Notamacropus eugenii: one gene and its partners. The protein of the gene in region 1 interacts with the protein of each later gene in a biochemical or structural test. Links are inferred from orthologs where the notes say so. Each region holds a gene or a part of one and is shown in the gene's direction. Other genes may lie near its edges. The genes, in order: NFKB1, DPF2, BCL3 and MAP3K8.

Evidence for each region.
Region 2: the proteins of NFKB1 (region 1) and DPF2 form a complex in vitro, tested with the Homo sapiens proteins (2 studies listed by BioGRID). The link is inferred for Notamacropus eugenii from reciprocal best matches to the Homo sapiens genes NFKB1 and DPF2.
Region 3: the proteins of NFKB1 (region 1) and BCL3 form a complex in vitro, tested with the Homo sapiens proteins (2 studies listed by BioGRID). The link is inferred for Notamacropus eugenii from reciprocal best matches to the Homo sapiens genes NFKB1 and BCL3.
Region 4: the proteins of NFKB1 (region 1) and MAP3K8 form a complex in vitro, tested with the Homo sapiens proteins (2 studies listed by BioGRID and IntAct, with this or other methods). The link is inferred for Notamacropus eugenii from reciprocal best matches to the Homo sapiens genes NFKB1 and MAP3K8.

The regions. Positions count from the first base shown.
Region 1 is NC_092878.1:140,834,706-140,842,185, forward strand, and holds the start of NFKB1 (nuclear factor NF-kappa-B p105 subunit), read left to right. Parts: upstream 1-4,466; 5' UTR 4,467-4,965; intron 4,966-7,480.
Region 2 is NC_092873.1:18,130,937-18,138,442, forward strand, and holds the start of DPF2 (zinc finger protein ubi-d4), read left to right. Parts: upstream 1-4,496; 5' UTR 4,497-4,569; coding exon 4,570-4,601; intron 4,602-4,760; exon of another isoform or gene 4,761-4,943; intron 4,944-5,448; exon of another isoform or gene 5,449-5,588; intron 5,589-5,995; exon of another isoform or gene 5,996-6,097; coding exon of another isoform or gene 6,098-6,108; intron 6,109-7,402; coding exon 7,403-7,506. UniProt on the Homo sapiens protein: Plays an active role in transcriptional regulation by binding modified histones H3 and H4. Is a negative regulator of myeloid differentiation of hematopoietic progenitor cells. Might also have a role in the development and maturation of lymphoid cells.
Region 3 is NC_092876.1:27,320,392-27,327,330, forward strand, and holds the start of BCL3 (B-cell lymphoma 3 protein), read left to right. Parts: upstream 1-3,939; 5' UTR 3,940-4,182; coding exon 4,183-4,408; intron 4,409-6,056; coding exon 6,057-6,195; intron 6,196-6,939. UniProt on the Homo sapiens protein: Contributes to the regulation of transcriptional activation of NF-kappa-B target genes. In the cytoplasm, inhibits the nuclear translocation of the NF-kappa-B p50 subunit.
Region 4 is NC_092874.1:70,166,722-70,174,594, reverse strand, and holds the start of MAP3K8 (mitogen-activated protein kinase kinase kinase 8), read left to right. Parts: upstream 1-4,872; 5' UTR 4,873-4,986; intron 4,987-5,081; exon of another isoform or gene 5,082-5,409; intron 5,410-5,656; exon of another isoform or gene 5,657-6,570; intron 6,571-6,603; exon of another isoform or gene 6,604-7,730; intron 7,731-7,873.

The DNA.
Region 1 (7,480 bases):
CTGTAAAACAGAGGTAATGAAATACGCTGGGGTCTTTCTACTTCATTGAGATTTCCTCCAAGGCTAGTTGGTCAGCCAACAAACATTTAGTTAATGCCTACTATGTGTCAGGCAGAAGTACTAAGAACTAAAGATTTTTAAAAGGCAAGAAAGCAAGAAACAACATCTTGCTTCTTTCAAGGAGTTCACTGTATAATAGGAGAGGCAACATGAAGATATAAACAGGATAAATACATGAAGATATATACAGGATAAATTAGAGATACTCAAATAGGTGATAGGCACTAGAATTAAGGGGAATCTAGAAAGGCTTCTTGGAGAAAGTGTTTTTATAGCTGAGACTTGAAGGAAGCCAGGAGGCAAGAGGGGACGAGGGACAGAGTCCCGGACAGAAGATAACCAGTGAAATACATAGAGTTGAGAGATGGAGTGCCTTGCTCATGGAAGAGCAAGGTGGTCAGTGTCACTGGATCAAAGATTATGTGAGTGAGAATCAGCTTGTAAGAAGACTAGAGAGGCAAGAGGTGGTGAAGGGATCTGAATGCCAAACAGGGCTTCTTCTATTTGACAGGGGGTCACTGTTATTTATTGAAAGGGGTGGGATGTGGTCAGACCTACTCTTTAGGATAGTTTGACAGCTAAGTGGAGGATGGACTGTACTGATGAGAGACCAACCAGCAGGCTCTTACAGGTCTGGGTGTGGGCTGAAAAAAGCCTACACCAGAGTGATCAGAAGAGAGAAAGGGGACATATATGAGAGATGGGAAAATTGAAAGGACTCGAGAACCGATTTGATATAGCGGGGGGGAGGGGATGAGAGAGAGCGAAGAGTGAGGGATTATACCCCTAGGCTGTGAGCCTGAGGGACTGGGAGGAGTAGTTGGGAAAAGGTAAAGAGTTCAGTTTGGGTCATGTTGATATTAAAAACAGACTCCTCTACCTCTTCCCAATCTTAAAGTTCTAACCAAGTCTGTTCCTGTTCTGAAGGATGCAACATGCTCTAAACACCTTAGTACAGAAAAAGTGGCTACTATACTTTGAATCCAAGGACTAAATCCACCTTCTGTCATCTATAAGCCCCACCTACTTCCCCAGGTTCTTTTTCATGACTCATCTTTTGGTGCCCTTCCCACCTCTCCCCTCCCTAACCCCAGAAGGGTGACATTTCATGAGTAAGCTTATGATAGAAAAAAGACTTCATGAATATATTAATAACAACATGCTTTCTATCAACCCATAAGAGAAGGTTATTTTCTCCCATGGGGATTTACACAAATATTAAGCAATTTCCTTAGAAGTAGAACTTTTCCTGAGAATAAAATGAGTAGAGTTCTTCAATGCAACAAGTTTAAAAGCCCCACACTGGGCAATGAAGGAGATACAGTTTAGATAAGACACAGTCCTTGTTCTCATGAAATCCACAGTTTTGGTAGGGAGGCATGACTAGTACACAGATAGGTATAATACAAAACAATAAGTAACAAGGGCATCAAATTTGTGTAAAACAAAGTGATTGGTAAAGTCCTGGAAATGAGGAATAGTCCTTACTGACTTGGTGGAATCAAAGAAAACTTTGTAGAGGAAATAACATTTGAGTCATAAACTTTATAGAACTCAAAAGTGGGACAACACATTTATAAAATTTAAATGTTTGGTCCTTGTGCGGTTACATTCATCCCTCAAACACAAATAAACTAAACTTATCTTTTCCCTCAGCTGCCATAAAACCTCCTCTTACCTTCAACTCCCTTCCCTCACTTTTCCATGAAATGTTCTGTTTTGGGAAGCTTCATCTTCCAGCCCCCTCCTTCAGCTGTAACAATCAGAAGCAGTCCTGGGTGTATTTGAGATTCAGGAGTCACAGAGAGCTAATCACTTTGTTAGAGTGGGAATCAGAAAATGAGAGTCAGAATTAAATCCCAAGAAGTCCTTAATTTCCAGGCCTCTTTGCCAAGATCTTTCCACAAGAGGGAACTGCTACCAGTCCAGTCATTTAGATCTTGGTCATCATTGCCTTATGATGACTAGATTGGTTAAAAAGACATGGTACCAAATGAACTCTTCTTTCTGTGTTGGTGGAGTGGAGCAAGGGTGAAGGTAGCATTAAGAGGGAAGCGGGAAGACTTCTTGTATGAATTCTAGAAGCCTGGTTAGGAAAAAAAAAATCTATGATCTCTGTTTCTTGCTAGGATAGCTTTTCTAGGGATGATGACAATTATAGTTCTTTTGTTTTATTTTGAATTACAGATAAAAATAATTTTTAATATTCATTTTAAAAAATTGAGTTAAAAATTCTTTCTCTCCCTCCTTTCCCTCCTCCTTTAGAAAGCAAGCAATTTACTATAGATTATACATGTGCAGTCATGCAAAATATATTTCCATATTAGCTATGTTCCAAAGAAGGCAAGGAAAAAACCTAAGTCTTAAAAAATTTTAAAACTCAAGTTTTTTAAAAAAGTGTGCTTTGATCTGTATTCGAACTCCAGTAGCTCTTTCTCTGGAGGTGGATAGCATTTTTTGTCCTAAGTCCTTCAGAATTGTCTTGGATCATTGCATTGCTGAGGATAGCTAAGTCATTCAGAGTTGATCATCATACAATACTGTTGTTACCATGTATGATTTTCTCCTAGTTCTGTTCACTTCACTTTGCATCAGTTCATATACCTCTTTCAGATTTTTCTGAAATAATCCTGCTCTTCATTTCTCATAGTATAATAGTATTTTATCACAATCATACCACAACTTGTTCAGCCATTCCCCAACTGATGGGCATCACTTCAGTTTCCACTTCTCGGCCACCACATAAGAGCTGCTATAAATAATTTTGTCCATAAAGGTCCTTTTCCTTTTTCTTTGATCTCTTCAGGATACAGACCCAGTAGGGGTATTGCTTGATCAAAGGATAGACATAGTTTTATAACTTTTTGGTCTGTTGTCCAGAATGGCTGGATCAGTTCACAACTCCACCAAGAGTTAGGCTATTATTCGTCAATGAATCTGTGATCTCCCCATCCACTATCCACATCTCACCTGGACTGACTTTTTCCCAGGCTTTGCCAAAGGCCCCCCTGCAGAAGGACCACCCGAAGTATTTCAGGCCTCCTCTAGCTAAGTCCCAACATTTGGTAGTACACATGAAGCATACTGCCTCTCTAAAATATGAGTTCATGCAAAGGATATTGAAGAAATGCATGGCAGGTATATTTAGGTTATATAGCATAATGCGTCTGATCATTTGCAAAAGAGGCCACCGAAGAATCTCAAAGATCACTTGCTCCGGATAGGAAGACCTGGGTTCGAATCCCCTTTTATTACTTATGCTATTTGTGTGACACTAGGCAAATGGCACCTTCCGGGGACTAAATGGCAAATCACATTTATACATAAAACTTAAGCCTCATATTACATCATAATTTCATTGGATCTTCACAGCACCAGGTATTGTATAAAGGTATTGTACTCTGCTGCTTCTGCAGCCCCTTTCAGGTATCAAGAGTCCTACACATCCTCAGAAAAAGGAGGTCTGGGCTGGTCATCTAACACGCTGTGACTATTGAGAAGGCATAATGGTAGAGTGGTGATAGAACTGGGTTTGGAACCCAAAATGCTTACCACTTACGAGACTTTGGGCAAGAAACTATCTCTCTGAGCCTCAGTTTGCTTATCTGTATAGTAGGAGAAACACTATTCACATCACCTCCTGGGGCTTCAGGCTTGAATGAGGCAATGTTTGTGTAGGAAAGCAGCGTGTCAAAGCCCTAGGTTGAGGTTTTTAATACATGCTTTTAATAAACATCCCAATAGGGGAATCATTACAGACAGAATTTAAGGTGAAGAATCTTTTTTGAGGGAGAGGTCACAAACAGAAGATTCAAATCCTCTATTTGTTATAAAGTGAATTATTATTAAAAATAATAGTTTTATATTTAATTTTATATTTCTATGTCATTTTATGTTTATATAGGGCTTTACAGTTAATAAAACGCTTTACACATATATTATTTGATCCTAACAAGCACCGTTGCAGGTAGGCGCTATTGTTACAGATGTAGAAACTGAGGCAGACTTGGGGACGATTTGAAATCGAGTCAGGCTTGCTCAGCCACCGCGCACAACCACAGTAATAACGTAAGCGTGGGGGACCCTTCCTCGATCCCCGGGGTCTCCCAGCAGGTGCTCAGCGGACCCCGCCCAGGTACCGCAGCCTGAGCCGCGGGATCCCAGCCCCGCAGCTGGCCCGGGGCCTCCAAGCGCCGGCTCCAGCAGACGAGGCCAAGGGATCGGAACAAGGCGCGCGCCGCCGAGTCCAAGTCCCTCCTCCCGTCCCTGACGTTGCGCTCCGGGCAAGGGGTGTAGGAGCGGAGGCCGGAGAGGGGCGCCGAGGCGACCCCGGTCCCCAGTCTCCAGCCCTGCCCCCCAGGAGATCGGGCTTCCCCCGCCCCCGGACTGGGAGTGTGTGTGCAAGTGTGTGAGTGTGTGTACGCGTCTGGCCTTGCTCGCTCTCTCCGGCTCAACGTCAGTGGGAATTTCCAGCCAGGAAGTGAGAGAGTGAACGAGAGAAAGAGAGAGAAGTGCGCCCGGCAGCTGCGAGCAGGAAGGGGAGGTTTCGCCACCCGAGGGCCAGGGGACGCGCTGACAGCTTCCCCCTTTCCCCTTCCCGTCGCTCGGTCCCGCCCGCCCGCCGTCCAGTCGGCCGCCCGAGCTGCTCCGGGGACAGCGCACGAGTGAGCGAGCCGGGACGGGCCAGGGCGCTCGGGTTGCGGCACCCCTAGCCTCCCCGGCCCGGGCTGCGGGCCATGCGCTGTGCTGCCCGCTGCTAGGCTCCGCGGGGCTGACCCACGCGCGCAGCCCGCCGCCTCCTCTGCCTCCTCTGCCTCCTCCGGCCAGCCCCCCACTGCTGCTCACCGGATCCGAGCGGGGAGCCAGGACGAGCTGGGAGGCCCTGGACAGCAGCTCCCCCAAAGGGTAAGACCAAAGTTGGGGCCGAGGGAGCGGGGAGGCTCTTCCTGGAGGGAAGGGGCAGACAAGTAAGTGCGAGTCCCCCCACACTGGCCGATCCCCACCCCGCCATCCCCCCGAGTCTAGACTTCCTCATTCCTGCCCGACCCGCTGGAGGAGGTTGACACCAGTTGCGAGGTGCAAGGGATTGGTGAAAGAGGAGGAAAAAGGCAGTCAGGGACTGGGGGTGGTGCAAATCGGCTCAGGGGAGCCCGGGGCCATGTGGTTTGGTCAATTGTATTTTTTCCCCCAACCCATTTCACCTCCTCCAACCTTTCGAAAAGATGAAAATATCTGGGCGTCTTGGACTGCTGAGGAGACTTAATTTTTCTTTTGGGGAGGTTTAGTCTGGAGGGAAGGGAATGACTAAGGGCGTACGTTTGTGTGTATGGGGGGGGAGGGTATTTTGAGTGAAGTGCTGAATCTGATTTCTATCCAAGGACGTTTTACGAAATGAAGGCTACCGATTTTCTTTATTTGAAAACCCTCTAGTTTCCAAGTCTTAACTATCTGCCATCCTCTAACTGAAAATGGGCCCATTCTTGATCGGGATCTCTGGTTATCTTTTCAGAAATATTAAGTCCATAGGGGCATTCCAAGACCCCCCGAAAGGCATTCTGAAAAAAAGGAGGGAGTGGGGGTTCTTAGTAAACTCTCTAAATCAAGTGCTGAGTCCGATGGTTAGTTCGTCATCCAAAAAAATCATGGTGGTGCTGGCATATATGCAGGGTGTCCCCAAAATCGGAGTGCAGTTATAACTTTTAATAACCATAATTTAAGCTAACGCTGCATAACGATAGTTTAAGTTATTAAAGGTTTAAGACTCGTCTCTCAAGTATGATCTTTTTATAGTGAAATTAATTTGCACTCTGAGTGTTCTGTTTCACATTTGAAATAGCCTGGATATCAAATCTAGTTGTTCGTTTGTTTTTAGAGTATCTTGAAGGTTCAATAGAAACTACCAGTTTAGGGCTTAAGTTCAATTAATGGATTTATATCAAATTAGCTGATTCCAAATCTTGGTCTATTTCCTATGGTAAGTCTAGGAATATAACATGAAGGTGGCAGTTGAATCATTTACTATATTAGAATAAGCCAGTGATCTTCTCAGAAGCCTGCTCTTCCCCACTGTTTGGGAAGCAAGGTACTCCCAGTTGGTGTAACATTGTTACTTTTGGTAGTTACTGAACTTCCTGAGTAAGACACTGTTGTTTGCCTGTTTGTCCTTTAGAATGAAAACTTGATCAGAATGCAAGGACTCAGCTGAAGTATGTTGTTAAGACTTAATTTTACAATTCTTCACATCCTGTTATTTGAAGTTAGTTATTTTTAAAGTACCTACCGCATATGTCAGCCTCTTAAGACAGAAAGATAGTCATTCCCTTCAAGGAGCTCACAATATAATGGAGAAAATAATACTTAAATAGAAGCTGAAAATTGGAGGGTATGGTGAGGCAGGGCGTTCTGAAGCATGGTGGTGCCCTGGGCAGTGGGGGAGGATCTGGGAGGAGGTCTTCTATGTCCGTCCTCTACCTTCAGCAGTTAGAACCCCTCCTGGACTTGGGGTTATTTCAGAAGACTTGAGCTTCAGAGTTGATTCCATCTTTCCTGAAAATGAGTTCCTGGAAATGATGATGAAGTCCAGGAGAACAGCTTGGTGGTAAATGATGAGGTAGCTGCCCAATTCCAGACCAGTTGAATTGTTTAAACTGTCTTCTCTATAATGTCTACTCTATATGTACTCTGATATAGAGTTGAATAATTAACTTGAGCCTAGTGTGTTTGGAAAGAAAGAATTTTGGAAGAGAAATTGATTATATGTTATGTTTGTTTTTCATGAGTACATACAACTGAATTGCTGAAATGCAAAGAACGTATGTACTGGGAAGAGACTTTTCTTGAAATGCTCAGTCAAATAGATTTTATTTATAATTATCTACTCAATATTGATAGACCTTCAACTCAAATTTATTTGGCAAAATGTCCACCTGAACTATGGAGAGCTTCAGTCAGAAAGACAGTTTCATATGAAAGAAGGTCTACCTTCAACAAGTATACAAATGCAATGAATGAATGAAAAAGCATTTATTTAAATCGTGACTAAAATAATGTGAGTTCTGAGTTCTTAGCAAAAATCTTTGGTAACGTCTTTTAAAAATGTTTTTTATCCTCAGAATCATTTTTGGAGACAGAAATCACAGATGTTATAGCTGGAAGGGACCTTAGAAATCATATCGTCTAACCCTCTCATTTTACAGATGAGAAAAGTGAGGTCCACGTAGGTTGTGATTTGTCTAAGCTCATGGCAAATGAAAGGCAGAGCTAGAACTGAGGTTTTACTCTTCTCTGATTGTTTTCTCTACTTCTGTATTGTTAAGGTTACTTCCAAAACTTTCATCTTTTGTTTTTTTAAATATCTGTTTTGTTTTTTAAATCACTTTTTACATGTGAATTACTCTGCCCAAGTATTTACCACAAGCCA
Region 2 (7,506 bases), on another chromosome or scaffold:
GTAAAAGGTTAACAAATATGCAATGACCAAAAATTAATTAAAAATTTAAAATTGTGATGAATCTGCACTTTACACTGTGCATGATCTCCAGCCACACAATGCCAACCAACACAGTCCAAACCAAAAAGAGGTTGCAGGTGGGAAAAGTTTCAGAAGCTCGGGACCTACATGTCCCTAGAAGTCACTTCCAACTCCAAAACTGTCATTCTTGCACCTGAAACAAGCAGAATCTGGCTGCCAAGATTAGATTTAGAGCTTAAAGGGGCCCTAGAAGTCATCAAGTCAGATTTGTATTCAGGTTCTGCCATTTAGAAATTCTATAGTAACTACTATCTTCCAGGCATTATCACTTTAAAATTATTTCAACTGATCACAACAACCCTGCCAAGTAGGTGCTGTTATCTCCATTTTACAGATGAGGAAACTGAGGCAAACAGCAGTTAAGTGACTTGGCTAGTGTCTAAGGCCAGATTTGAACCTAGGTCTCCTTGACTGCAGCCCTAGCACTCTATCCATTCTATCCAACCTTACCTCCCTGGGACTCAGTTTTCTCATTTGCTAAAGGCTAATAATGATACTTCCAACCTCATTGCACCACTCTTCCATAATGTATGGAGCTAAAAAGGGGCTTTGAAATTATCTGATATAAACTCTTCATTTTACAGATGAGGAAACTGAGATCCAGGGAGCACAGCGGCTTGCCCAGGTCATACAGCCAGTGGGTAGCAGAGCTGGCCTTCTAAGCCAGGTCTTCCCAGTTCTTTCTACTCCACCCAAGGACACAGGGGTGATGTCTATACACATCTTAGCTTTGCCCAATCCTGCCAGCTGTAAGCACTCTCTCCTTCTGGACATTTTATACACACACACACACACACACACACACACACACACACACATACACATACCCATATATACATACATACATCCTCTGGACATTTTGTATAGGTATACATACATATATGTACGCATACATACATATGTACATATATCTTTAATTCAATTAACTCAATTTGTTCCTTTCTAATTTTCAAGGAGTTTGTTGCCTGGGCAGATTTGATGCCTCTTCTGCCAAGCTATTCATTTCCTTTTCAATTCTTTCTTCCATAGCTCTCATTTCATTTGCAAAAATGTTTTTAACTCATTAAAGAAAAAAACAAAAAAAACCTGCTTCATCTTTTCCAGGAATTCTAGTTGAATGTGTACCCAGGTTGTTTCTCTTGAGGCTTTGCTTGGAGATGTTTTGGAGTTATTCTCTTCTGCCTTGGTGATAGCATCCCTGTCACTAAAATAGCTTTTTATGGTGGGATCCTTTTTTGGGGGGCAGCAGGTTCATTTTTCCAGCCTATTTCCTGACTTCAGGCTTGTATTAGGGCCAGACTCTATGTGCTTTTGGAGGGAACATCTGGACTGGTCCTGTTGCTGTCTTCTTAGGGTACTGAATGTTATGTTATTCCAGGATCTCAGGGACAATTCAAGCTGGAGACCCATAAGCTTTCAGTGCTCCCAAAGTGGTCTAATCCAAAGCAAAATCTAATCGTTGTCCTCCTCAGCCCAGCCCAAGTCTGAGCTCTATAAGTTCCTGACCACGGTTTGGGTCTGAGCATCAGTAGATGCTGCTGGAACCAGCCCCTACCAGTCAGCTGGAACACTCTGTGCGTTCAGAGTGATAGAATTATAGGCTCCTCTTTAGACTGAGTTTCCTGCCCTGGTTACTCTTCCATAGGCTGGGCAAGAAGCTGGAACTGAGATCCTGCTCTTCTTCTGAGATCTGAGCCATACTACTGCTGCTGCTGATGGCATCTAAGCTTGCCTCTATGTACATCAACTCAGGCCCTCCTCAGCTGCTCCTTACCCCAGAATGCCATCCCTGAGAACAGGTCTCCTCCTCCATCCACCTTGATCTTAGACCTGGAACTGATTAGTGTTGGCACCTGTTCCTCTCCTGCCACTCAGGGGTGGGTCTGACCTCCTTTCACCCTGGTCCACAACACTGGAGGGCTTCTGGCCAGATCCCTTTCTGTCTATTTTCCTAGACCAAATTGGGCTGGCAAAACAACTCAATATGATTTTTTTTCATGGATTTCTCCATCCAGATTAGATCTGGCACATTTTCCAGATCTGCTTAGGGAAGGTGGGGGATTGGGACCCTGGAATACTGGCTGTGAGGCCTCCTGCTACTTGGTTCCTCGGTTCCTCCATCCTAATAAGGAAAGCGGCAGCCCAGAGAGTGTCATTTGGATCTGGGAAGTTTCAGGATGGTACAAACAATGGAGGAGTTCATCCTTTTGAGGAATAGCAGAGTATGGATTGATTATTTTTCCCAGCACAGTCAATTAATAAACTTTATTAAGCACATACCAAACGATGCCAGGTACTGTGCTAAGTGCTGAGGATGCTACAGCCCCTGCTATTAAGGGGTGTACTGTCTCATGGGGGAGATGATGTGCAGACAACTATGAACCAACAAAGAAGACAATGGCATTAAAGGCGCATCTAGAAGCCTTCAGGTAGAAGGTGGGATTTTAGTGGAACAAGAGGTAAAAGTCATAGCTTAGGGAAGGGATGATACCTATGGCAGAAACCTGACCAGAGACTACTGGGGTGTGTCTAGGGGTCCCTCCCTACCCTGATCTACCTAGTCAGAATCCAAAGTAGAGAAGCAAAGTCAGAGGCAGAGGGTGGGGATGAACAAGTTAGCCCTCAGCAGCATTGCAGAAAGATGGTCAGAGGGCATCAAATCCAATCACCCTGAGCTTGAAAGTGGGTTAGAGTCAGCAAAAATTTATACTTCTAGATCTAGGCCTGAAAGGAAACTTAGGAGTCATCTGGCTTCAAATACTCATTTTATAGCTGAGGAAACTGAGGCCCAGAGAAGTCACCATTAAGAGATTTACCAAGGTTCACTTGTGTGGTAAATTATTTCTAGGATTTCATCTCTGGTCCTGTGACCGCAAGGTCAATGAGTGCTCTCTCCACTGAGCATCAATAAAATTTTTTAACTTTGGGAATTTTTTCGATATTAAAAAATTATAAATCAGAGGTTTAGGGCAGTTAGGTGGTGCAGTGGATAGAGCACCAGCCCTGGAGTCAGGAGGATCTGAGTTCAAATCCTGCTTAAGACGCTTGACACTTCCTAGTTGTGTAACCCTGGACAAGTCATTTAACCCCCATTGCCTTGAAAATAAATAAATAAATAAAAGAGGGTTTGAACTGATTAACAACAATGTTGTTGTCCTTTGTTCTTGAAGAGGACCATGACATCAGGGAGGTGATGCTATGACATGCAGGTGAATTGGATCGAAGTGATTTTGACGAGACTATGAGTGTAGAATATTGCAGCTCCTGCCAGACACAAGCTGGTGCATGGATAGCTTGGCTAAACCGTTTTCTTTTCTTTCCTTCTAATTCTCTGTTAACAGAGCCGGCAAGGCAGGTGAATTCTTACACCTCAGAAACCGGCAATCCCTACAAATCAGCGCTTGATTTGTCGTTGGTTTCTTAATTGACTACATTTTAAAAGTGTTAATAATCAGATTTAACTTAAAAGTGTTTGTGCAAATCTTCCCCCCTCCTCCCCCCCGGAAGCCTGTTTGTTCCACTACCATTATCTTCATGGTCATGTTTGGAAATGAAATCCGTGTGAAAATGGAAGAAAACAGGCATGGATACAAAGTTGCAAAGGAGATACAATGTAACTTTTAAAATAAGGGCAACTTTGTATGTTTGTATACGAGCCTGTTCCCGCGAATTCCTGGGCGGAAAAATGGGAGGCAGGGCGGTCCTCAGGGGGCAGACCGGTTTTTGCCCTTCTGGATATGCCCAGGTTAGCAGGTGCCCGGTAAACAGTAGGCGTTTAATAAATGCTGGCTGCCCACGGCAAAGGAAAAAGTTTAGGTTTGAGTTACTGTTTTCAGTTGCAGCTACTTTCCCCTCCTCGCTCCCACCCTGGGGGTCCCTTCCACAATTGAGGAGCCCCCAGAGGACGCTGGAGGTGAAGGGGAAAAGGGCCCCCCCGGCCCGAGGCAAGGGACTCACTGCAGTCCCAAGGCTTTTGTCGCTTTCCTGGAGTCACAGGCTCAAACCGCGCGTGCGCACTGGCTTGGTTCTGTTCCCTCCTACCCGGTACTGGCTCGGCTCCTGCTAATGGGAAAATTACCGCGCTTGCGCGATGGAGCTGGGGCGGCGGGGGCGGGGGGGGTTGGGGAAGTGGGAAAGATGGCCGACCTTTTTGGCGCCTGCGCGTTGGAGCAGGGAACTACGAGCCGGCTTCTACGTGGAGGCGGAGGAGACGGAGAGAGCTTCTGTTTGGAGCTTTGGGGAAGGCGGGGTGGAGCGCGTCAGGCCTTCGGAATCGGCGCCTGCGCGCTGCGCCGCGGTGCGGGCGCGCTCTCCGGCCCCGGCGCTTGCGCGCTGGCAGCCTTGTCCTCCTCTCTGCACGCCTGCGCGCTGGGGTCGCCGCGGGGGCGGGAGCGGGGAGCGTGCGGACGCGCGGGCACGCGCTTCGGGCTGGGCGCCTGCGCACTCCGACCCCGGGGGCTCCCGGGCTGAGGGAGAGGAGGAGGGAAGATGGCGGCCGTGGTGGAGAATGTAGTGAAGCTGTGAGTGGCGACCGCCGTCTCTTCAGAGCCGGGGCGGGCGGGGGGGGCGGGCCCGGGGCCGCGGAGGGGGGCGTGGCGGCGGCGTGCGCGGAGACGCCGCCGGGGCGGGCGCGGGGCGGCCGGGCCCGGACGAGGCCGTTGGGCGCCGGGCCGGGGCGCGTGGCAGCTGCGGGCGCGAGCACTTCCAGCGGGGGCGCGCGCGGGGCCCCGCTCCAGCCAGGCGCGCCCCCGAGGGGGAAACTGAGGCCCGAGCTCCGGCGCCTGGAAAGGGACCTTAAAGGGGGGGTCGTCTCGCCTGACCGAGGAAGTAAACTGAGGCACGCGGGCAGTGCCAGGGCCAAGGTCACGGAGAGAGTCAGCGGGAGGGATCCTAGAGACAACCACGGTCCCACGTCCCATTTGACAGATGGGGAAACTGAGGCACAGAGCGGGGCCTGGACGGGCGCCCCCGCCCTCCACAGTCCCTGCCCGGTGCTGAGGCTCGTCCTCGGGGGATTGGGGAGGACCCCCGGGGGGCGGCCTGGGCTGCCCTACGGGGTCCTCAGGAGGTGGGCCTGGCACGAACACCCCCGGCCAGACGCAGAGCCACAGGATGCGCTTTGGGAAGGAAGGAAAGGGGCACCTGTTCACCCAATAGGGGAGTTTTAAATACAAAGGGGGTCCCCCCTGCTTGGGGTTCTGGAATGAATGCTGAAACCGGGTGCCAGGGAAGGCTGCAGCTCTTGGGCCTGACCCACCTGAAGAAAGGAAGGAGGGCCGGCCGTATGGCAGGATCCTCCTGTTCCCAGGGGGCAGGCCAGGGGCTCTTCCTTGAATCCTGAGGAGCTTGCTTCATGCCGTTGGCCAGGGGTAGAGGCATCTCAGAAGTGCGGGCAGCCGTGAAAGGTGGCGTGGCCTTGGCATCTTACCTGGGAGCTTAGCATGAAGTGGGCCTTGAATTCACTCCACCTCGCCCAGGAGTGGGTCAGCAGAACTCCTGTTCTCTAGGTGCCAGCTAGATTTCCAGCTGTTCCTTTTTAAGCGGGTGCAGGGAGTTGGAAGAGAGGGTTTTTCCAGGGTTCTCAGGCCTCTGTCCTTGCTTTATGGTAGGCTGCAAGCTGCTCCCTGGACGGGAGCCTTTTTGATGAGGGAGAGCATGCCCACTGCCATTCAGCTGGGTGCCCTCCCTCTCCTGGGTTAGTTGGAGGGGGCGGCAGGCTTCCTTTCTGCTCAGCCACCCACCCATCCCACTCCATCATCATCCTCTCTGATGTGCCCACTCCTTTTCCCCAGTCTCTCCTCAGGCTGGCATTTCCCTCAGTTCAGAGAGGATCATGCTAATCTCCCACTCTGTCCTTCCTGACACAAAGGTTCTCTCCCCCCTTTTCCATCCTTTTCCTTGGGTTTGTACCCAGCACCCCACAGGGCCCAGAGGCAGTTTCACCGATTTTATACTGACGTAGAGGGAAATCCAGTTGTTCTGAGAAAAGCTGACTCTTCTAGATCCCAAGGGGAGCATGGAAAGAAGGCAAGAGGGAAAGAAAAGCTAAAAAAGGGAAGTTTCTTGGGGTAGGCCTGTTTTGGATGGGTGGCAGCAGGCACCTTCAGGTGGGGTTCAGGGGGTTGGCAGGGTATCTCCTGAGACAGGCCTTGGTTTCTCCATCTCACCTCTGAGGTAGTCTTGGGGGGTGGGGTTGGGGTTCCTGATACCCTGGCACCCTGGCAATGGGGAGCCATCCACCTCCTCCTTAGTACCTGCTTAGCCCCCTGCTGGGGGCTGCTGATGACAGTCAAAGTCTATTGACCAGGCTTCTCTTCCAAGGAAGGGAACTCCACCTTCTTTTTCCTGTTCCTGATCCCCACCCAGAGAAGCAGCTGTTGTCCCCTTGCCATGCTATCACCAGGCTGGTTTGTTTTGGTTTTTGTTTGGGGGGGAGTACTTAGTTATCTGACAGTTTAGTCTTAATTTGACAAACAGGACACTTCTGGGCTTTATTTGTGATGGGCTCCTGAGCTGGGACTCTCTCTCCCTGGCATAAGAAATGAAAAGGAGATCTCTTCGTAAGGGTAGCACCCATTGTCCCCAAACACCCATCTCTCTCTTAGCTGCTTAACAGGATCTGACCCTTCTCTGTCCAGGGATCCCTTGCTGAGTTCTCCCTCCCCTGTCCCCCAACTCATTAGGAGCCATGTTCTCTGCCCTTTCCCAAATACATAGTGTTCTTTAAAAAGCTGTGTGGCCCACCTCCTGGTGTATGCCTGAGGTACCCACACAACCTGAAGGCTCCAGGATCTCCCTGCTCACCTTCCATTTCTTTCTGAACGTCACTCTCAATTCCCATCAGTGGAAACAAAGGAACTGCGCTCTTTAGCCTTGTTTATCCAATTTTATTCTCTGATGGTGAGAATGTGGAGGCCGATTTCTGAAAGCCAGCTAATATGGACCCATTGCCTCCTCCTCACATAAGAGGCCTACCTCAAATTACAGTAATTACAGCTCATTGAATTAAGCTGGGCTGGTGGCATTTCTGCTGCTGCCTTTCTGTTTGTTTTGGTTTGGGGGTGGGGATTTTTCCCAGTTGCTCAAAGCACCAAATTATTGAGAGCTCATCAGATCATGGTGTGGGGTTTGAGGTGGTTTATGTTCTGGGCCTTCCCAGCCAGGACACCCAGAGGCCCCTGGGGCCCAGCTTGATTCCTCTTGGTGACATTTGACTTGGCTCAGCTGGTGTCCTCTAAGGTAGAAGAGGGAACAGACAGGTCAAAAGGGTCCCAGACAGCTTTCTGAGCCTTCCCTTGAAGCCCCTCCTGTCCCCCTACAGCCTGGGGGAGCAGTACTACCGAGATGCCATGGAACAGTGCCACAATTACAACGCCCGCCTCTGCGCCGAACGCAGCGTGCGCCTGCCCTTCCTCGACTCCCAGA
Region 3 (6,939 bases), on another chromosome or scaffold:
CCTTGTCACTCCCCCAAGCAGCGTGGGGATTTTTATCCAATCCCAAAACTAATTTCCTTTGCTTCCTAGGGGTCTTCAGGGGCTCCCTGGTCCTAGTGATATGGCAACACTGCCCTCCAGGAGATCTCTGCATACGCAAAGCACACAGGGTACCCCTCACTTCTCAGTTTCCACCCCACATTCCTACCCTACTCGGAAATTTAGACAGGATGACCTCCGTGGCTTCCTGGACCTGCTGAGGGGATAAGGGAGGGGCCTTTCCCAGGGCCTTAGGACTTCCCTTTCTCTGGGCTGGAGGCCCCTGGGATCAGGGGAGCAGAGCCATACCTTCTGCCCTACCCTGACTTCTGGGGGTCACTCTGTGCCCCCCAAAGCTTCCCACCCCTCGGAGCTCTCCCAGGCTCTCTCAATACTCCTCTGGCTTCTTCACATCCTTTCCCACCTGGGTTGCCTAAGGCTTGGGTCTAGCTAGGTCTACCTCAGTGTCTCCTCAGAGAAAGCCTTAAAAATGCTTCCAGAAAAGAGGAATTTCATCTTGATCACCCTGGAAGAGATAGGGGTAGCCTTCCAGGGTCTATGTTGCAATAACCCCTCGGGCCTATGGCTCCAAGAAGATTAAATGTTGGCAGCAGGCCCTGGGGTGGGGCAGGGTGGGTTCAGTGCCAGGATAAGGCAGGGAAGGCCTAGGGGGAAGGAAGGCGGGGTGGGAAGGGAATAGCTCCTCCTCCAGGAAGTTGGCCCCGATTCATCCTCTGACTTAGGCCCAAGTTTCTGCAGAATTCAGGGCCTAGGACTGAGTCAAATTGTTGCTTGGGCAATTTGAAGGAGAGGCCCTGAATGTGGGGCCTGCCTAGGGTAGCCACCAGAGGCAGGAAGCCCAGGCCTCCCCTCAGAGGGCTTCCAAAGCAGGGAGACTGGCCATCTAGTGAATCCCCGAGGACTTCTTAGACATGTATTGAGGTAGATTTGGAAGGAGAGGAACATGATTTGGGGAGACAGACACTTCCTAACCTTCAATGATTTATACACACGGGACTTGCAGCCCAGAGTAGGGAAAGTAGTTTGACTCGAACTAGTCAAAGGATGAAGTTCAAAAGCAGGCTGTCTGAGGGAAAGGAACCCGGCCCTCTGGGCAATGGGAGCCTGGAACAGGGGAAACCCCTGATTCCCCTTGCATAGATCCAGTGAATGTCACGTTTCCCAGAGAGTGGCACAAAAGGGACAGGTGAGAGTTAATTAAAACCCCTTTCCAGGGTCTATTTTGAGGAGGGGACAAGTTTATCATACGTGGTCTCTTCCATTCCCATTCCCGACACTAGAAAGAGGGGCGGGAGGAGACTCCCCAAGCCGGGACTTTCCTGATCTCCTGGAGATTCTGGGAAATCAGGCCCAACAAGAGGGGGGGAGATGGGGAGGAAGGGAGAAGAGCTGGGTCACCTCTGACTTCCCCCTCCCCAAACAAGAGCTGCTCCCAGACTCTCCCAGACCTTGAGATTCTCCTCAGACTCAGCCTTTCCCTAGATTGTATTCTAGCCCTCTTCTAGCTACCCCCACACACACCTCAAACCCTCAGATTTTCCTTGGGCCTCAGACTGCATTCCTGGGCTAAACAGAGGGAGTACAGCCCCATCCTACCCCACCAGCCCCACAGCAACCCAGAGCAACAGAAACAAAGCAATTGAGAGGGAGACACTGGAAGGGACAGACAGACACTGCCCTACCCAGTTCAGCTCCTTGAACTCTGACCTGAGCCCAGAACTGTCCCTACCACTAGCCACCACATCCCTTGTTAATAATTGGCAGTGAGGTGGAAGAGGTGGGGGGAGGAGAGGAAAAGGTCGGGTCCAAGTCCAAGAGAAGGTCTGATTACAGCTCGAGGTGGGAGGAGGGTGGGGCACACTCACTTCCATTAATTTGGTCTCAGAGAAAGGAGATGGGACCTGGGATTACACAGGGAGGCAAAGAAACAGACCCTGAAGGCAACATATTTAGTAATAAATAAGACTTAATTGCAACAGAATGGAAACACAGAGGGAAATCTTCAAACCTGAGGAAGGGGGCCATATAAAATCAGAAAGACAGACAGAGGCCTCATTTATGAGACTTTGGGCTGAAAGGCACCTGAAGCTGTTCCAACCCCCTTCATTTTACATGGAAGAAATCAGATTTAGCCATGGGAAATGACCTGCACAAAGGCACTCTCCTAGTAAGAGGACTGTTTGAATGCTGATTTTCTGACTAAATTCAGTGCTCCTCTACAACTCCATGCTAGCACTGGATTGAGAGACAGAGACAGTTAAGAGATGAAGGGATGGGAGCCAATGACCTTTTAGACTCCTTCCCAACCTAAGGATTCTGTCATTCTTGGAGGCTCAGAGAAAGATGGGGAGAAAGAAACTCTGGGCATATTTTTCTGGGGCACGGGAGTGGGGAGTGTGTAGCTCTGGGAAAAGGGGGTGGGGGGGATAGTGAAGGAATTGGGTCCCTTCCTCCTTCCCTTCTGTGACTCAGTGACCCGGACTCAACCTCAAGCGGGGAGGGAAAGAGCAGAAGAAAGGGTTGGGAGGAGCCTCGCCCCTGGGGAAAAACGGGAAAGCCCCGGTTTCTCCCAGCCCCCCCTCTCCGCCCCATTGCTGGAGGGAGTGGAGGGAGACGGGAGAAGGGAGAGCAAAAAAAAAGGGAGCTAGCGAAAAGTAGGGAAACCCACAGAGACAGAGCTTGGAGACAAGGTCAGGGAGACAGACAGACAGACCGGATAGAGACACAGGTATACTAGAGGCTGAGAACAGAAACGTCTCGCCTTTTTCCTCTCCGCCCCCCCCCCCCCCCCCCCCCAGTCGCTTTCTCCCTCATCCTCGTCCCTGTGAGAGAGAAAGGAGAAAGAGATCTAGGATAAAAAAAAGAGAAGGGGGACCCGGTTCGGGTATGCAGAGAGGAGGGGCATTGAGTGGGGGGAGAGGGAAAGCAGGGGGAGGGCGGCTCCAGGGTTCCTTCCCCTTCCCTCCCAGGGACTCGGTGACTCATCCTCCCCCCAACCAGCTGGGCCTGTTCCCCACCCCCACCCTTGGGCCGCTTCCCTCTGACCTCGGTTGTCCCGCTCCTCCCCCACCTTTGGTCTCTATCTAGGTCTTTGCAGATTTGTGTGTGACTGTCTTTGACTTTCTCTCGCTGACTGCCTGGATCTCGGCCTTTCAGTCATTCCACAGGTGTCTGCCCCGCCTTCCGCTCCCCCTCTACTCCCGCCACCTGCCCCCACCCCTCCCTCCTGGAACATGGGTGGAGGAGAGAAAAAGGAAGAGATCGGGCAGAGGCTTAGAGAAATGGGCAGAAAGCAAGGGGAGTGGGAGGGGGCCGCGGGCGGGGCAGGGGAACAAAGAGGACTGGACAGTGTTCGGCGCGGGGGGCGGGGTACAGCCAGCCATCCAGGACCGGGGACCCAGAAGGACAAACCGAGATTAGACCCAGAGACGGCCGAGCGGGCAGGGTCGAGACGTGGAGACTAGGCAGAGACAGTGTCTGAGATCAGAAAGGACAGACAGATAGGGAGAGACTCAGAGACAGACTTAGAGACGTCAGGAAGGAGAGAGCGAGAGAAAGTGTGTGTGTGTGTGTGTGTGTGTGTGTGTGTGTGAGAGAGAGAGAGAGTGTGTGTGTGTGTGTGTGTGTGTGTGTGTGTGTGTGTGTGTGTGAGAGAGAGAGAGAGAGAGAGAGAGAGAGAGTGTGTGTGTGTGTGTGTGTGTGTGTGTGTGTGTGTGTGTGTGTGTGTGTGTGTGTGTGAAAATACGGAGGAGAAAAACAACACGCCGGGAGCGAGAGAAGGGGCGGAGAAGCCCGGAGAGACTTGAGCCCGGAGCCTCCAGGAAAGCCCGAGAGGGAGGGGGCCCGGCCAGCCCGGGGAGGGGGAGGGCGGCGGGGGAGGGCGGAGGCGGGGGAGGGCGGGCGCCGCCCCGGCTCACAAAAGTCCCTTCAGCTCAGCTGGCTGGAGGGGAAGTCCCTGGTGTGCTGCTCGCTGCGCTGATATCTGAGCGGAGCCCAGCCGGGCTGCAGCCTGTGCCCGGCGGCAGCCACCGGGCCTCCCTCCCAGACGGGGCTCCGTCCGCCCCGTCGGCTCTGCACAACTCCCCGCCCTGCCTCTGCCCCGGCGGGCCCCAGGGAGACCCGAGGCAGCCAGGGGCCCCGGCCATGCCCCGATGCCCCCGGGACATGGACGACGGGCCGGTGGACCTGCGGACGCGGCCCAAAGTCGGAGCCCCCGACTCGGAGGCCACACTGCCCCTGAGAAAGCGGCGCTACCGGGAGCCCCAGGAGTCCCCCGGGCCCGGCATCGCTCCAGCCCCGGAGCCCGCGCCGCAGAGCCCCAGCACGTACCCTGGCCTCCCGGGCCCTGCCACAGCCATCTACTATCCTGGTGAGTGAGGGGGACAGAGATGAACTCCCACCCCTGGTAGCCCGGGCACCTCAGCTCCTACCCGAACTGGGGACTCTCCTCCAGGCCTCGACCCTTGGCTCTACTCGTGCTTTTCTGGGCACCCTCCGCCTGTCCTGAGACAGGCGTCCATTGCCCAAAGCAATTTTTTTCCGACCTGGGCTGGGTACCCTTGCCTGACATTGATACCTGGACATCTTCCACACATTCCAGCTAGATCCACCCTACCCTAACCTAAGCACCCTTGTCCCAACCCAGCCTGGTCCTGGGGTGCAGGTGCTCAACCCAGCCTGGGCACCTGCAGCCTGGACAACTGCCCTTCCTCACCCTGTCCTTGATCTGGGCACCCTGGCCTGGTCCCTACCTGGGCCTCCTCCCTCTAGGTCTAAAACCTGTCTGTCCTCTCCCTGACCCCCTTACCTCTTCTGATCCCACATCCATCCTAACCTGTCCTCAGCCAGTGCATCCTCCCTGACCCCCTCTCTCCATTCCAAAGTCAGCACATCCTCCATCCTGACCCTGCTCCCCAGGTCTTCCCATTCTCAACCTAATCTTCTGCCCAAACCTGGAATCCCTTTCTTCCTTTCCCAACCCCTGCTGTCCTCACTTCCCGACCCAATCATCCCATGCTTCCTGGATCTTTATCCAGTTCTCACCTTGCCCCCCCACAAGGCAACCCACCCTTAACCTGTCCCCCCAAGGCTCTGTCCCCCACCCCAAGAGCAAGGACATTGCACAAACTGGTTGATTCTAGTCACAGTGTGACGTGACCCTGAGTCACCCAGAAAAACCACAGAGAGCCCTGCCTGGGCATCTACCCCCCTCAACCTGCACACACATACACAAACCCTTAGTCCATCCCCAGGCTCCTAGAAGCTCAATGGAGAGAACCTTGAGATAGATGTCAATGTAGTTTTAACGCTACCATGAACTTGTTCTAAGACCTTGGGAAAGTCCTCCTCTTCTCTGGCCTATTTTGTCGTGTGTAAAGCGATGCACTTGGACTGTCTCTAAGGCATCTTCAGACTGGTGTTCTGAAAGCTCCAAAGCCTCATAGATGAGGGTAAATTGTAGAAATGTGGAGCTGAAAGAGACTTTCGTCCCAGCTCTTTCATATTACAGTCCAAGAAACTGTGGCCTGAACTGCCCAAGGTCATCCAGGCAGCCTAGTGGAAGAGTCAGGGTTTGAAATGATGTTCTCAGACACACATATGTTCTCTTACCGTTTTCCCACAGTACCTGTAACTGGCTATTAGGTCTGACTTTCTATGGTCTAAGCTCCTATCCCACTCAAAGAGTCTGAATTTCTTTGACATTCTCCCTCCACACTCAAATGTTTGCCTTCCCTCCCTTTCCTTATTTCCCTCTCAGTAATAATTGTAAAGCACTTAGCACAATGCCTGGCACCTAGTAAGGCTATATAAATTTTAGTTACGTAGTAGTCCTAGTATTAATACTACTACTAGCTACAGTGGTACTAGTACTAGTTGTCGTGGTAGTATAGAAGTAGTACTAATTGTAGTGGTGCTCCTACTAGTAGTAGGAGTAGTGCTAGCAGTAGTACGACTACTGCTTCTAAAAGTAGAGGGGGAAGAGGGAATCTCAGAGCCTCACACCCTCTCCCCCACAGGCCCCTTCCTATATCCTGCACCAGCCCCATTTTCAGTACTGAGCCTGCCACCACCCACCTACCCAGTGCTCTGCCCCCTGGAGAACCCACTCACCGCTGACATTGCCAAGGCCACAAGACCAGATGAGGATGGAGACACGTGAGTGACCTTTGGACCTCTACCTCCTCTAAGGACTGCCATACACCCCTCTGCCTCTCCCCCTTCCACGGACCCTCTTCCCCCCCATGACCCCCTCCCATTCCCCTGTGCTCCACTCCAGTCTCCTTCTCCCCTTAAGAGCTCCCTTTGCCCCAAGTCTCCATCTCCCTCCAACAGCCATATGCCCCTTGATTCCCCTCCCCCTTCTGTGTCCCTTTTCCCCTCTGTTTCACTCTCATCCTCGCCGCACAACCACCCCCCCCCCCCAGCCCCAACACAAACACTTCTGCAGTGGCTGCCTCCCGGGGAAGCCCCAGACCGCAGGACACACCACAGCCCCAGCTGCTCCCCAGGCCTGCGTCAGTCTCCCCCTATACACACACTTGGCCTTAACCCCTTCCGCCCTCAGCTCCCACTGCGAGGGAGGCAGGCATCACAGGGCTTACTGGAATGGATCAGCTCACCCTTGACCTTAGTCCTAACCCCAGGGACCTCTCCTGCTCCATAGATCCTGGGGTGGGATGCTGGGGCTGGGTCCCCACATCACTGAACCCTCAAAGCATCAGGAGTAGAGAGGATTTAATGCCAGGGTCTGAAAGGAGATGAGAGCCCTAGAGCTAGGATCCTGGGTCCCAGAGGTAAATGAGGCTGGGGGTAAGGAGGAGGAGCTCACTGTCCAGGCCTAGGAAGGGAATGAGCCCCATCCTAAGGGATACCTCGGTCCCTAGAAGGAACCTGAGGGGG
Region 4 (7,873 bases), on another chromosome or scaffold:
GGACGAACACAACAACCTTTGAGTAGATGCAGCTGCCTGAACAGGGACCCAGCTAGCTGGGTAATTCAGCTCCTCCCCTCCTGTCTGTCTTCTCCTCCCCTTTCTTCTCTTCTCCGAAGGAAGGTAATTTTGGATGGTCAGAAGATGCCCAGTTGACTCGGGTTTTACTGGCTAGATTTTTTGCCTTGCCTTGCCTTTCCCAAAACCTTAAACTTACTGCACTCTGAAGCTCGGACAACACTGACCCCCTGCCTAAGGGCTCTTCTGGACCCTCCTGGCTTAAGTGTGATTATCAATAGTAACTGTTGCTGTTTCCTTCCCAGCTTGATGTCTTTTTCTTTGCCTCATTAAAGGGGCCATACCCTAGCTACTTCTTAAACAGTCCTACTCAATGAATGGGCATTACCTCACCCTAGGTGAATGCTAGCAAAGACCTTGGCCTAAAGGGGTCAAGGTCTCCCAGTGCATCCTGGGTCATCTCTAGTCATCCTGATGAATATGATGATCACTGGATTCAGATGACTCTGGAGAAGTAAGGCTGGTGACCTGCACAGCCCTCCCTCACTCAAAACAAAGTCATGTGCAAGTCATGTCATCATTTCTCTGATGGCATGGTCTTTGACAACAAAGGATGAACACAACAACAGTCTTGAAGAAATGGAGGAAACCCTGGATCTGATGGAGCACCTCCCTGAAACACTTATCAAGTACCATTTGACTTTATAGCTATTTGTGTGTGACATACCCCCCTCCAACTATTTTATAAATTACCTAAGGCAGAGGAGCCCCTGTTCCTTCTGCCCCTCCCCTCCTAACATAATGTGCTGTGCATAGCAGATGATCGATGAATAGTTATTGAACTGAAATGAACTTGCTGCAACCTATGGTTTCACCTTCAGGTACCATGGAGCCAGAATCTATGGAGAGAGTAAATCAACTCCCTAGCCTCAGTCACCAGTGTGGTTCTGGTCAAATCCATTCTGCATTTATGAGTTTGAGTTGCCTTTCTCCACAATAGACCAGAGGTGTTGAATTCAGGCCTCCTGGTTCAACTTCTTAACCTCGACGTCCAACCTCCAGGCCCAGGTCACCCTTGCCAGGACACCAGTTATTACTTTGGAGGCAGAATGGTAGAATGCAAAGAACCCTGGCAGGGGTTGGGGGGACAGGGGTGGCTGCGGAGAAGGTCATGAATTTGAAGTCACAGGATCTAAATTGAAATCCAATTACTGCCACATACTGCCAAGCAATCTTGAGCAAATCATTTACTATTCTGTGCCTTAGTTCCCTCATCTGTGAGATGGGAGAGTTTGGATTTAGCTGATTTTGAAATCGTGGATGTAGTTTGAATTCTGACTTTGCCACTGTGTAAACCACTTAATTCTCTGACCCTTCAATAAGCTTTTTTACTTTGCAAAATGGAGGTAATAATACGTAAATTACTGACTTCACAGGGCTCTGGCATTAAGGTTTCCAAAGTTTAGTTCACCACCTCGTGAGGAAGGTGGAAGAAATGTTGTCCTAATGTTTGGATAAGGAAACTGAGTTTCAGAGACATTGTGATAATGTCCACAGTCACACAGCTGGTATCTGAGTCGGGAACAGAGCCTAGGGCTCTGACTCCAAGGTCAGCTCCACTCTTTTCTGGATACCTACCATACAGCATTCACTTTGTAGTATGATTTCCCAGCACAGCCTTTCACAAGGATAGGGCCATAGCTACTGAAGTTTTCCCTAGGGCACTGAAAAATCTCTGTTCCTTATACAGATAGAAATAATTGGACTTTGCACCTGGTCAACTAGAATAAGGAACCTTACCCCACAACCTAGGTGACTTCTGCCTACCTTTCCTACTCCCTCTACCCTAGGGCCTTCATTGTCCTATGGTCCTTCCACTCCCCCACATGTTCCCTCACCCAACTAAATTCTTCTTTAAAAGCTGGTCTTCCATGTTGCTTGCCTAGAATTTTTGACTATGATTCTAACTCTTAGGTAATAATTTCAATAACTGTTCTATTGGGGGTGGAAGTTAGGAAGTATCAACTCTGCAAGCCCCAATCTGCTAAATATAGCACGCACCTAACAGCAATCTGCTGATTAAGCAACTTTCAGTATTTGCAAAGTGTTTATTAATGTCCCTTGGAGTTATTATGATAACATGATCCCAGTCATAACCTCATAACCTACTTTACTGTAGAGCAGAGAGAAATCATAATATTTGTCCAAGGACATACAGAAAAAGATTGTGAAAGCCCCCCCCCCCCCCTTTTTAACCTCAGTCTTACACCAGTGAAAAAGACTTAACTGAGTTTCTATCTTTTGAGAAATGTATTGCTATCTTTTGTTTTTACATCTTCATTTTCACCCCCCCTCACTGTCCTCTTTGCACCCAATTAAAGAGTTACCACCATCCCAGGTAATAAAGAACAAAAAAGGGAAAAATGAAAATCAAAACCAAGACATCAATACAATCTAGAGGTATATAAAATACTCCACACCGTTAGTCCTCGGGTCAGTCCCTCAGCCAGTCAGCCCACAAGTATTTATTTAACACTTACTAAGTGCCAGGCACGGTGCTAAGCGCTAAGGCTACAAGCAGGCAAGGACATGGTCTCCGCCCTTAAAGAACTCACATTCAAATGGGGGACACATCAAGTAAACAATTATGAACATAGAGATATCTACAGAATAAATAGGAAGTCGAGTCAGAGGAGTCGGGAGACCAGAAAAGGCCTCCTGCCGAAGGTGGAAGCTGAGCCAAGCGTTGAAGAAAGCCCGGGAAGCCTCTGCAAAAAAGGGAGTGGGATACATTTTTTTTTCTATTTTGAGCTCCAGTCATTTTCAAGTTTTATTCGCAGTTCTTTTTACCCAGCCAGCCACAAGTTAAACCTCACAGGAGTTGCTAAGATAAGGGATCCTATTCTGTGTTTACAAGTTGGGGGAGGAAGGACCAGATCAATCAGTACTTATGGTAGAACACCCCGAGAGTCCAGGCTGCAGTTGCCCGTCGGATGCTTGGGGAGGGAATCCGGGCGGAGTGCCCCAAAGTTCTTTCACCGAGAGAGGCCAGAAAGAATGAACAGCTCGTGTAAATGCGGTCTCTGCTAAACTTTCCAGTGCCCCGCCCGAAATCCCTCAATTCTTAGAACATAGCGTTTTCTATTTCAAAAGCAAAATATTGTCAAGTGCTTTCAATCCTTCCACCAAGTATCACACGCAATCCTCAAATCACAGGTGTTAAGAATTTCGGTCCTAATTAAAGTCCCCCCAAAGCATTTCGATTCCAATTATCCGTGCAGACGCTGCAGAGTCTAGTTAAGCTTTTCAGCTTCCGGCTGACTCTTGCGTTCATCTGCCGCCGCATACTCAGGAGTTGCTGAGAAAATGACCATTAATACAAATCGCTGCATTCCTTAAGTGGGAAGACGGGGTGTGGAAAGCGCAGGTTACTGGCAATTGGCTCAGAAAAAGAGGTCCGGGGCCAAGAGTGAGTGGCTCAGCCGCCGGCCCGACCCAGGAATGGAGCGGCTGCCAGCGGAAAAGGAGGAGGGAGGAGGGGGAATAGTGGTGAAAGCTTCAGGGGTAAGGGAGGGAGCAGGCCGTTCCCAGCAGTGAGGAACTCAGCTGAGGGTGGAGCTCAGCTGTCTTCCCAGCACTGTTAGGCAGGCAGTTACTAACATCACTCCTCCAAGGGCCCAAAGACGTTAAGTAACTTGTCCAGGGTCTATTACAAACGGCAGCAGAGCTGAGAGTTGAACCTCGGTCCTCTGTCTCCAAATCCAGTAGTCGGAGGCAATGGGGTACCGGAGGAAGACCTATGACTGCAGTCAGAGGACCTAGGCTCAAATACCTCACGGACACCTAGAATACTTATGAGAGATCTTGAGCAAGCCACTTAACGTGCGCTTAACGTGCGTCGGGGACCTCAGTTTCCTCACGCGCAAAATGGGGGAGTTGGGCCTCAACCTTTGCTCCCTTTCTAGATCTGAAACGTAAGCTTCTTGAAGCTGGCTTGGTAAGATCTATCCATCGATCTAGCTAGCTATGTCTATCTCCTTTTGTGCCATTGAAGATGCAGTGGTTGAGCTAATGAAGTGGAATGGGAACATGTTTTGGTCCAATCCAGAGGCGGTGCAGAGAGGAGCCTTCGGTGGGGAGGTTAAGGGTGGGGAAGGAAGATCTTGGAATAACAGAGCTTCCTCCAGACTCTTTGGTGGGGCGGGGGGGAAGAATCCACACCCTCCGCACTCTGTTCTCTTCTCCAGCTCGCACTGGGAGATAAGATCAAAGCCCGCAGCTCCTCCTACCCACCCGGGCAGGGTGTCCTCACTCTTCACAGGAGTGGGTTTTTTCTTTTTTGAGGGGAGGTGGCAGTCCGTGGGTCCCTACAGCTGGGAGCTGTGGGGAGCTGCTTCCGGTCTCGCAGCTCCCTTCCAGAAAAAGTTGGGAATTCCCCAGTAGAGTCCATGGTGCCCCTCTGATCGTCTCGCTTGTCTCCTCTCTGGTTTCCCGGTGCCCTAAGTCCCGCCCCTGGCCCCGCCCCCAATCTTTTCGGGTGCATTTAGTGCCTAGACACCTAGAGGGGAGGGGGAATTTCCCACTCCGGGACGCAGGCTTCCCCTGCGACCGGGGCCACCTCTTTCTGATTACACAGAGAAAAGGGAAATGGAAAACACCAAAGAGGAGGGGGCGGCGTCGCCTGGTCTTCTCCGCAGCGCCACCCGTCGCCGGGCTCAGACGCAGGGAGTCAAGGAGCTGGCAGCGTCTCGGGGCTAAGCAGCGGCCGCTTCGCGTTGGCCGGGGCGGAGACCCAGGGCCCGCACCCCGGCGCTCTCCGCGGCTCTGGCCTCTTGCTCCACCCCCTCGCCGCTCACGTCGAAGCTTTCCGGCCAGACAGTCGCTCGGCGAGTGCTCGGCCCTGGCCGGGGTCCCGCTCCCCCTGGAGAGGTCCAGCCGCCCGCCCGCCGGGCTGCACGGGGACTCCAGGTAGGAGAGAAGCGCCAAGCGGCCGCTTGCCGGGGGCGCTGGGGGACTCGGGTGCAGGGGGAGGGGACTTCTTTTTTATTTGGGCAGCGCCTCTCTCCTCTGTCGCTGTGTTTCTCCGCCTGGCTGCCGGGAAGAGACGGGGAACTCCTCGGGTCGGGGCTAGCTGGATCTGCCAACCAGCTGCTGCCGCCGAGTTTCCTTCCTCTCGGACCCGGTCGGGATGCTGCGATCCCGCTGGAAAGCACCTTGCGAAACTCTTAACTGGTGGCAGTCTTTCGACCCCGCCCCCTTCCCTCTCTCTCCCGGATCCCTGCTGTCCGCAAGACTTGCTCCAGGTTGGTAGTGCAGGTCTGGGCTGTGCCCGGGAGAGGTGGGATTGATGCCCCGCCTCCCTCCCACGGCCGCCGGGGAGCTCGGTTCCAGGTGAGTGCGACCCAGACCAGAGTCTGGGGGGTTTGGCCGCTACTGCTCTCTGCGCGCCTTTAAAATATCAGTAGCCTTAACTTGCTAACACATCAACCCGACGCATCTTGTGGACTTAATCCTAAGAATTATCCCGAAACTGCAGGTCCTCGAGGGACTGATCATTTTAATCAAGGAAAAAAACCTATGGAAGCAAGGCTGCGGGTGGGGACGGCAGGTGGGCTGGGGAGAGAGGGCGTTTGGGGGTTTGGGGAGTCGGACTCAATTGCTCCGAGTCTTTTCTAAAGGGCATTTGCGTCATAGTGTCAAGATTGGGCTTTGAGGCTAGGAAGGCTGTATCAACCGGAGAGGGGAAAAACTTCATGGAAGGTACTTGCTGTCTGAGGGCTGCTCTCCTTCTCCTGACACCCAGAGACCCAGCGTCCGGTCCTCGAGGGCTCAAACTGACAGGTTCTACCTGAAAGTGTTGAAGGTTAAGCTTTAAGCTGTTAGTTGGGATTTTTCAAAAGGGAGTGAGGAAGGGAGAGGGTAGAGGCCAATCGAGCCTGTGTGAAATGATGTAAACACTTGCTAATTTTCATCTTGGAGGGTGGGTGGTTTGAACCAAAATAAGGGGCTGTTCCTTGAAACTAAAAATACATCAGCTTTACATACCATTACTTTGAGTAATCTATATAGGCCAAATAGATTGTCTCATCCGAAGGTTTTCCGTTGAGCTTACTGTCTGATGACCTTCAAACCAGTTTTTCTCTCCAGTATAGATCTTTTGGCTTTCTGTGATTAACTAATGCAGTACTTCAGCCTAATTAAAATACATCAACCTTAGGCTTTATTCTGAATAGTCTCTATTAAGGGATTAGAAGTGCTTTTGGGACCTGGGAGAAAGGGTACACCTTTCATTTGCATATTAAAGCCAGAAATTTTTGCACCTGGAGTAATTGACCACTAAGTAAAGTTTTTTTTTAAATTTTTTTTTCTCCTTTCCTCCCGGAAACTCCGTTTAATACAAACTACTGAGGGGTTCTTACCATTGATTGCAAGGAAGTAATCATCTTGCAACCTACATCTCACAAGATTCTTGCAGATGTACCTTACGTTTTTAGGGGGCTGCAGTTTTCAAAGCCAAATAGTTGATCTCTTTTGCTTCTCCAGGACTTTGAGGTAAATAGATTAATATTATTTTCTTTTGGTTTGTTTTTTTTTTTGTTTTTGTTTTTTTGTTTTACTGCTAAGAATACACAAAGGCTAATAAGGTGTGAAGTGTGAAAGTGCTGGTCTGGGACTTCCACCAGTATTCTTAAGAGAGTACATGCATGTGAGACTTTGTGAGCTTCTGGTTTCTCAAATGTCACACAGTTGATAATACTTACACTACTTACTTCCCTACCTTAAAGGGCTGCTAGGAGGAAAGTAATCGTTTAGGCACTAGAGAAGTGTGTTGTAAGTAAGGATATTAACCTTAGGTGACAGCTGACCAGTTGCAGGGTAGGGACTGGAAGCCAGGACTTCTGACTCCAATTTTAATGTCAGTTTAACTGAAATTAACCTAAAACGTTGTATTGGTTACCTCTACTAAAGGGTTCACCTGAGGACTTGAGGCAAATGACTGTACTCCCTTCTTCTGGGTGTAAAGTTTTGTAGGGATTTTTTTTTTCTGTCTCTTAAGTTGCTTGTGCTCTGTAGAGGGGAGGCATTGCATTTGGCTTACATAGGCTACAAAGCATCGATTGCTATGCTAGAACAACTTTGCGATTATTTCATTCTTTCTATAGCTGCATGCTCTCATTCTGTCCAAGAATGGATCTCACTTTGCTTGTTTTTAATATAGAATTTTAATGGTACCTGCACTATCATGTGTTTTGATACTAGCTCAGAAGGCATCTGTATATTATGTATTCAACTAAAAAAGCATCTCAGGAAACTTCACCTGCTTCTGTAGAAGTATTAAGACTGTAAGTTGGTCCTCAGGGCCATACTGTTTGTATGTCAGTGAGAGGGATGTGACCAACAGAACATGGATACTACTTTGGTTTCATTGAACAGTTAGTTGCAGTTTCTTCTTATACAATCCAGGCTTGAAAAACAGAAGTTGTCACAAAAGTAACTCTACTTAGCATGCTGTTGGCTGGGGAGGGCTTATTGACTTACTAATCAAATATGTTTCTTAAAAAAAAAAGTCCATGAGTTCACATGACTCCAGAGAGGAAGCAGGGGAAAATTCCACAGAATTCACAGTTTGCTCAGCTGATGCCAATGTGAAAGGCATGCTTTTTAAATTCCTGCAGATTGTCTCAAGAGTTTACACTGGAATAACTTAAGAGGTGAGCCCGATCAAAAGATTTAATGTTTGACTGCAAAATTGTTTAGCTTTTCGGAGACCTGCAATCTGAAATTAAGATTTTTGGGAGGTCTTTTTTTTTAAACTGCATCTGTGACTTCATCCATTTAGGGAACTCCCTCCTCT